2 linked regions of the Struthio camelus genome follow. The protein of the gene in region 1 interacts with the protein of each later gene in a biochemical or structural test. Links are inferred from orthologs where the notes say so. Each region holds a gene or a part of one and is shown on either strand. Other genes may lie near its edges.

What was found. The genes of interacting proteins can lie anywhere in the genome.
Region 2: the proteins of UBR5 (region 1) and OTUD5 form a complex in vitro, tested with the Homo sapiens proteins (2 studies listed by BioGRID, with this or other methods). The link is inferred for Struthio camelus from reciprocal best matches to the Homo sapiens genes UBR5 and OTUD5.

What each region holds. Positions count from the first base shown.
Region 1 is NC_090943.1:145,523,675-145,527,414, forward strand, and holds the start of UBR5 (E3 ubiquitin-protein ligase UBR5), read left to right. Parts: upstream 1-1,480; 5' UTR 1,481-1,590; coding exon 1,591-1,652; intron 1,653-3,740. UniProt on the Homo sapiens protein: E3 ubiquitin-protein ligase involved in different protein quality control pathways in the cytoplasm and nucleus. Mainly acts as a ubiquitin chain elongator that extends pre-ubiquitinated substrates.
Region 2 is NC_090979.1:307,351-311,090, reverse strand, and holds the start of OTUD5 (OTU domain-containing protein 5), read left to right. Parts: upstream 1-768; 5' UTR 769-783; coding exon 784-1,284; intron 1,285-2,298; coding exon 2,299-2,392; intron 2,393-2,696; coding exon 2,697-2,761; intron 2,762-3,136; coding exon 3,137-3,293; intron 3,294-3,414; coding exon 3,415-3,563; intron 3,564-3,740. UniProt on the Homo sapiens protein: Deubiquitinating enzyme that functions as a negative regulator of the innate immune system. Has peptidase activity towards 'Lys-48'- and 'Lys-63'-linked polyubiquitin chains. Can also cleave 'Lys-11'-linked ubiquitin chains (in vitro).

The sequences.
Region 1 (3,740 bases):
TGGGGAAAGAGCCAGGGAAGAAAGGGGAACGGGTGATGGCAAATGTCAAAGTGACATGCACTCCTCAGATTTGAGAGGGGAAGAGCAAGCTGAGATTTCTAGGGATTATGACTGCATAGGCCCAAAAAAACCCTATATCTCAGTGAACCAAGTTTCAAATTTTTTTGTAGAGTGGCAAGCATTCTGCACATGCTAAAAAATTCCAAGTCAGTTTTCTAAAATTCTGATTTCCTGCAAATAAACAGAATGAGCTGCAAAGACAGTAAAATCCAGTCAAAGCCAACGTTTAGTACAATCCCAGCCAAGGTGTTGGTTTCTGTAGAAACCAACGAATGTTTTGACTTTGTTACTCGACTTTCTGTAAATTTAGATATTAATTTCTTAAAAACCATCCCTTTTGCAAAGTATGTTCCCTTCCAAAAGCATGATAAAATCCCTTCCAGGAGCACAGTGCGCAGCCACTAAGGCACAAAGTGCTCCATGGTGTTTCAGGGATAACTTTCTACGCTGATATAGCACAAATCTGCCTGGAAAAGGGTGGAAAATTTTGGCTATTAGAGAGAAGACTGACTGTGCGACCGGCTAGTCATAGCCAGGAACTGAAAACCAGCCTCCTAACTTTGGGAAAGCAGATAACGAAGGGCAGCTAGTTCGAAAATCCCCTCTGAGGTCACCCGCGCCACAAGGAGGGCCTGAGGAGGCGAAAACCCACTGACACGCCTCGTTCGCCAGGCCCGCAGCAAAGCGTGGCGAGGCGCGGCTCCGCCCACCCGCTCTGCCTCTCTTCTCCGTTAAGCCGACGGGCAAACGGCAGCTCCGGCCAGCCCGGCCCTGGCGAGCGGAGTGGCGGCGCGGCGCGGCCGGCTCCGCCCGCCCACCCGCGGTGGCAGGCGCCCAGCCGGGGCCGCTCGCCGCCTCCCGCAGCGGAGGGGAGCGGGGCGGAGCCGCCCGCCCCCGGCGCGGCCCGCTCGGCCGCAGGGGCCGCCACAGGCCCGGCCCGGCCCGCGCCTCAGGGAGCCGCGCGCGCGCCGCCGCTGCCGCCGCCCCGCCCCCGCCGCACGCGCGCGCACGCCACCGCCAGCGGCGGCGGCCAAGGGGAGCGCCGGGGAGTTGCTCTCGGGAGCACGTGGTCTTTCACGTCCCTCGCGCATGACGTCACCGCGCTTTGCGAGACCTCCCGTCCATCCCGCCAATCCGCCGCCCGCTTAGTGGAGGGGCGCTGCCCGGCGGCGAGCGCACCACTCAGCGCGCGGCTTGCATAGCGGCCGGCCGGCCGCCGCCCCGCCTTTCCCCGGCGCGGCGCAAGGAGGGAGGGAGAAGGGCCCGCTGGAAGTTAAGATGGCGGCGCGTGTGTGAGTGCGGTGCGGGCTGAGCCTCTTCCCGGCACTCCGCTGCGGGCTCCCTCGTCCCCCGCGCCCCGCGTCGCGGCGGGCGAGCCAAGGACTCCGCCGGCGGCCCCGAGCGCCCCCGGGGGAGGGAAAGACGCCGAGCGCCCCCCTCCCCCCGCCGCCCCCCCCGCCCCCATTGTGTGCCCGGCGCCTGCCCGCCTGCCTCCCTCCGCCGGGGGGGGCAGCGGCGGCGGCGCGGAACATGACCTCGATCCACTTCGTGGTGCACCCGCTCCCGGGCACCGAGGACCAGCTCAATGACCGGTGAGGGGCAGGCCGGTGCGGCGGGGGGCGGAGGGGAGGGGCCGGCCTGGCGCAGCTCGGCCCCCGTGGGTGAGGGGAGGGGCCGGCGGCGGCGGCCGGAGCGCGGCGCGCCGAGGGCGCCCTGGGGCAGGGGCAGCGGCGGCGCCGGGCCGCGGGGGGGCGGCCCCGGTGTCGTCGTCGTCCTCTCCCCCCCCCCCCCCCGTCGCCCCCGCGCCGGGCGCTCCCGGCGCCTTCCCCGCGCGGGGCCGCGGCCGTCCTCTCGCTGCGGCCGCGCCGGCGCCGTCAACTTTGCCCCCCGCGGGAGAGGGGGTGGCGGGCCGCGACCTCCGCCGTGGGCCCGCGGCGGGGCCTCGGCTCCGCGTGCCCCGTGCCGATGTCCGCCCCAGGAAGGAGGTTATCGTGGCTCCCGGGCCGAGCGCGAGGAGGAGCGAGAATGTGTCCATTTTAATCAGAGATGAATCGAGGCAGACAATGCAGATGGGAGACCGCGGTGTGTGTGTGCGAGTGGGGAGGGGAGGATAATAGAGACGTGCATGAAGGATGTAACGCGTATGCACGCTTGGAGTCTGCTTTATGTTCCTCTTTATTTATTATTGCGGGTTATTTAAACAAGAAGGGTGGCCTGATCTTCAGATCGCTGGTTGTATGCGGCTTGGCTCAGCTTGGTATGACAGATAGAACAGAAGCACAGTGTTTTTTGGAAATCTCATAGCTAACTTTATTTTGGTTTATGGGAGAGAAATTGCAGGCTGGGAGAAAATAAAATACTTGGGAGAAAATTAAATCTATTACCTAAGTAGATTTCATTGCTGGATCTGTGTTTTACAGCCTTCTGTGTGGCTGTCAAATATTTCTTCTGTAGCAATTACTAATTGTATATGTTATAGTTAGTAAATTTCACTTGTGCCTGGTTATACGTAAATCCTTAAGAAATATGTAACTTTGCACTTTGAATTTCTTATGAATTTATGTATGAGCAAATCAAAATCTTTAATCAACACTGGATAGAAACCTAAGTATTTTTTACACTATAGCTAAATACTATTTAATATTTATCAGTGCATGTAAGTTTTTATAAATATACGTACGCTTGATTATATTTTTGTCTTCCTGGATTTTACTAAGTTTGAGACTAGATCACGGTCCATCTCACTCCACTGTTGGTAGTTTAGGCTAGGAAAAGTGATCTGTCTTTCCCGAGATGGCTCTTGTTAAAACACAGCTGAAGTTCAAGGGCTTATGAGGAGGAAAATAGGTCATTGTAAAGATAAATTTCTCCCAAACTGCATCATCCCTGTCCTTAAGCAGGGAGAAGATATTTCTAATGATAAAATAGGTCTGTGACCCAAAGCATGTTAATGTGGAGTGCATTTTTTTTTTTTTTCCCTTACCTGGATAGTACATTTTACAGGACTCGTTCTTCATGTGCCTCCTAGGAGGAGGCCTAACCTTTCCTAAGGGATTGATTGGCTTTCTCCACAGTCGTGCATTCAAAGTTGACCTACAGCTTCTTTCTTTAGAGTGACAAACTGTGAGAGGTAATGCTGTACTAGGAGTGCTTCTGCTTCTTCATCCTACTATTTTGATTTAGGGTAAGATCTAGGACTTTGATCTTGAAAGGACCTCAGTGATTTTTCTTTTTCATTTTTTTTAACGTTGATAGGCCCTTAGAAAACATTTAGCATGTAATTATCACACTTAGCTCAGAATGAAAGAGCTCATCTGATATTCTTTTAGTATGTCACCTGTTTTGTTGACTTATTGATGTTAAATACGATGTCGCTTCAGTCCTCATAATGCTTTTTTTTTTTAACCACAGCAGCAGCTCTTACAACTTTTATTTGATACAGGAAGCTTCATAAAATGTGGTAATTAATATATGGAGGAAGCTACAGAAGTGCTATTAAGTACTGACTTATTCTGAAAAATCAAGTGGCTCCTTGATCTGAGCTGCAAATCATAAATTTCCACTTCAGAAACATAATTTGACTAGAAATGTGGTAGCTATGTATCAGAACTTGTAATGCAGTGAAATCAGAATGATTCATAAATAGGACTGAGGCACATATGTATGTGCTGGAACTGGCA
Region 2 (3,740 bases), on another chromosome or scaffold:
GGGTCCCTTTTAGGGGGAGGGGGCTCAGCTGGTAGGGAGGGGGAGGGAAGGGGTGGCCCCTGGGGAGTGATTGACAGCCGCGGGGCGGAGTTAGGGGTAGGGCCACTGCGGCATCGTCCCGCCTCCTGCAGCTGCCATCCAATGGGAAATTAGGTCGCGGCCGCAGCCAATAGGCGCGGCGGAGGCGGGGCCAGGAAGCGGAGCCGACGAGGGGGAGGCGGGCCCGCCCCCGCGGGGAGCAGCCAATCGCAAGGCGGCGGAGGGGGTGGGCACGCCTTGGCCCGGCCCCCCTTCTCGCCCCACCAATCCGCGCGCCGCACGGCCGCCAGCCAATGGCGGTGCCTTCCGCGCGCGCGCGCCGTCGCCACGGCGACGCCGGGCCCGTCCCTCCTCCTCCTGCGAGGCGGGGCCGGGGCCGGGCAGGCGGAGCGAGGAGGTGCCGAGGGGGCGGGACTTCCCCCCGAGCGCTGTAGCCAATGGCGACGCGGCGTGTGCGGCGGCGCCCAATGGGCGCGGCGCGCGGGGCGGAAGCGAGCGCGCGCGGCGGCGGGGTCAGAGGGCGGCTCTGTTGATGTTGACACCAGGCCGGGGCCCTCGCGGCGGCGGCGGAGGCGAGGGTAGGGGAGGGGTGGGGGTGCTGGCCGCAGTACGGGCGCCGCCGAGGATCAAAAAGCCCCTGAGGCGGCGCAGCGCGCGGCCGCCCCGCGGCCTGCACCGGGCGGCGGCGGCGGCCGGTAACGGGGCGGGCGGGGGGGCGCCGGGGGGGTCCATGCGGCCGCCGCCATGACGATCCTGCCCAAGAAGAAGCCGTGCCCGGCCCCCGACGCCGATCCGGACGCCGGCCCCGATTCGCACCCGGAGCCGGGGCCTAGCGGCGGCGGCGGCGGTCCCAACGCGGAGGGCGGCGGCGGCGGCGGCGGCCCCCGACCTCGGGCCTCGCCGCCGCCGCCGCTGCGGGGCTGGGCGGCCGCCGGCGCCTCGCCGCCGCCGCCGCCCGCTGCCGCCGCCGCCGGCTCCGGGAACGGCGGCGGCGACGGCGGCCCCGGAGGGCTGCTGGGGCTGGAGGGGGCCGAGGCGCGCGGCGTCATGGCGGCGGCCGTGGTGGCGGCGGGCGGCGGCCCCGGGCTCAGCAAGCGGCGGCGGCGCGGCGGCCCCGGGCCCGGGCCCGGGCCCAGCGGCGGCGGCGGCAGCCCCGGCCCGGATGAGGCCGGCGGTGGCGGCTACAACAGCGAGGATGAGTACGAGGCGGCGCGGGTGGAGCTGGACCCGGCCACGGCCGAGCAGGTGCCGCCACCGGGGGGGACGCGGGGGACACTGGGGGGCACCGGCTGGCCTGGTTTTGCCCCCTTGCATCGTGGGGGTGGCGCGGAGTTGGGGGGGTCGCGCGAGTCCCCGTGTGACATGTGGGGCCTGATGGTGCCACACGTGTGTGACACGGGCTGGTGGTGTCATGTGTGTCCCCATGTGACATGTGGGGCCTGATGGTGCCACGCAGGTGTCATGGGTTGGGGGGTTGCACATGTCCCTGTGGGACATGTGGGGCCTGATGCTGGCACATGTGTGTGGTATGGGCTGACAGTGTCATGTGTGTTTCTGTGTGACACATGGGGCTGGCACCACCACATGTCTGTGCTGCCGTGTGTGTCCCTGTGTGACACAGGAGCTGGGGGTGCCACATGCATCCCTGTATGGCCCGGGGAGGTGGCACTTCTACATGCATGTGACACAGGGTGCTGGCACTGTCCCGTCTGTCATAGGAGGGCCCCCGGGCCCCCCTGCCTGTCCCTGCGTCCCACAGGGGCTGGTCACTGTCACGCATGTGCCGTCCCATTGTGCAGGGAGGGTGGCGCTGTCACATGCATGTCACCATGTCCCACAGGGGACTGTGCAAGGGTGGGTACATTATGTCACGTGTGCCTGTCACCCGTGTCCTGGCCGTGTTGTGTGTGTGTGTGTCTGGTCGAGGGCTGCTGCCACGTGTGTCATTGCATGATGTGGAAGAAGCATGTCCCTGTTGCGCGTGTCTTCATGTCATGCAGGGCCTTGCCCTTATGTCACATGTGAGGCCTTGTTAGATGCGGCCTCATGTCACACAGGGTTGCGTCCTTGTGTTGCATGTGCACGTACAGGGTTGTGTTGTGCAGGGACGTGGCCTCATGTCACATGCGTCCTCGTGTTACTTGTGTCCCGTGGGGGCTGGTCTCTGTCCCGCGTGCCCTGGCATGGTGCAGGCTGCTGGTGGGGTGGGGGGTCCTGCCCGGATGCTGGGGCCCCGGCTGAGCCCAGCTCTGTCTCCAGCAGGAGCACCGGTTCGAGAAGGCACTGCGCGAGAAGAAAGGCTTCATCATTAAGCGCATGAAGGAGGATGGCGCCTGCCTCTTCCGGGCCGTGGGTGAGCCACCGCTGTCCCGTGTCACCCCACTGCCATCCCGTGTCACCCCACAGTCATCCCAATGCTGTTCCGTGTCACCCTGTGGCCGTCCTGTGTCACCCCGCGGCCGTCCTGCAGCCGTCCTGTGTCACCCCACATCTGTCCTGCATCTCTCCTGTGTCACCTCGCGTCACACCCTGTGCCCATCCCGCGCTGCCTCCCCTGCACGTTCGCCCGCCCCAGGCGCCCGGGGCAGGGACCCAGGCATCCGGGCGCAGGCACTGACCCCGCGCCCCGTTGCTGTCGCGCTGTCCCCCACCTGCAGCCGACCAGGTGTACGGAGACCAGGACATGCACGAGGTGGTGCGCAAGCACTGTATGGACTACCTGGTGAGTGGCCCTGTGTTGCTGTCCCCACCCCTGCCAGGCCCTGTCCCCCTGGCATTCCCACGTGTCCACTGGGGTCCCCCATGTCCTCTGCCAGGCTGGATCCCCCTGGGGTCCCCCTGTGTTCCCTGGTGTCCCTTGCCAGACTGTGTCCCCCTGGGGTCCCCTCAGTCCCCCCAGTTGTTCCGTGCCACCTTGGGGCTGTCCTCATGTCCCCAGGGTCCCCCTGTGCTCCCCAGTGTCCCCAGGGCTGCCCTGGGGTCCTCGGCATCCCTAGTTGTCCCCTGCCACCCTGGTGTCCCCTCTGTCCCCTCTGGGGGGGGTCCTGGCGGTGGCAGTCCCCGTGGTGGCGTGGCCCAGCGCTGGTGGCCCGCACAGATGAAGAACGCCGACTACTTTTCCAACTACGTGACGGAGGACTTCACCACCTACATCAACCGCAAGCGCAAGAGCACCTGCCACGGCAACCACATTGAGATGCAGGCCATGGCCGAGATGTACAACCGCCCCGTGGAGGTCTACCAGTACGGCACTGGTGAGTGATATGGCCATGGGGTGGTGGAGGAGCAGGATGTGGACACCAGGGTCCACGGGGTGGTGGTGAGGTCCCCGGTGTCCGTGGGGGTCCCTGGGGTGCTGACGTGGGGGTCCCACAGAGCCCATCAACACCTTCCACGGGATCCAGCACAACGAGGACGAACCGATCCGGGTGAGCTACCACCGTAACATCCACTACAACTCCGTGGTGAACCCCAACAAGGCCACCATCGGCGTGGGGCTGGGGCTGCCTTCCTTCAAGCCGGGGGTGAGTTGCAGGAGGGGGTCGCCGTGGGGTTAGGGGGGTCCCGGTGGCCACCGTGGGGCTGGGAGAGTCCTTGGGGCCACCATGGAGCTGGGGGATCCCATGGGCTACCATGGGGTTGTGGAGATGCCTCAGGCCACCATGGGGCTGGGGGGGGGGTCCCTGAGGAGGCCATGGGGC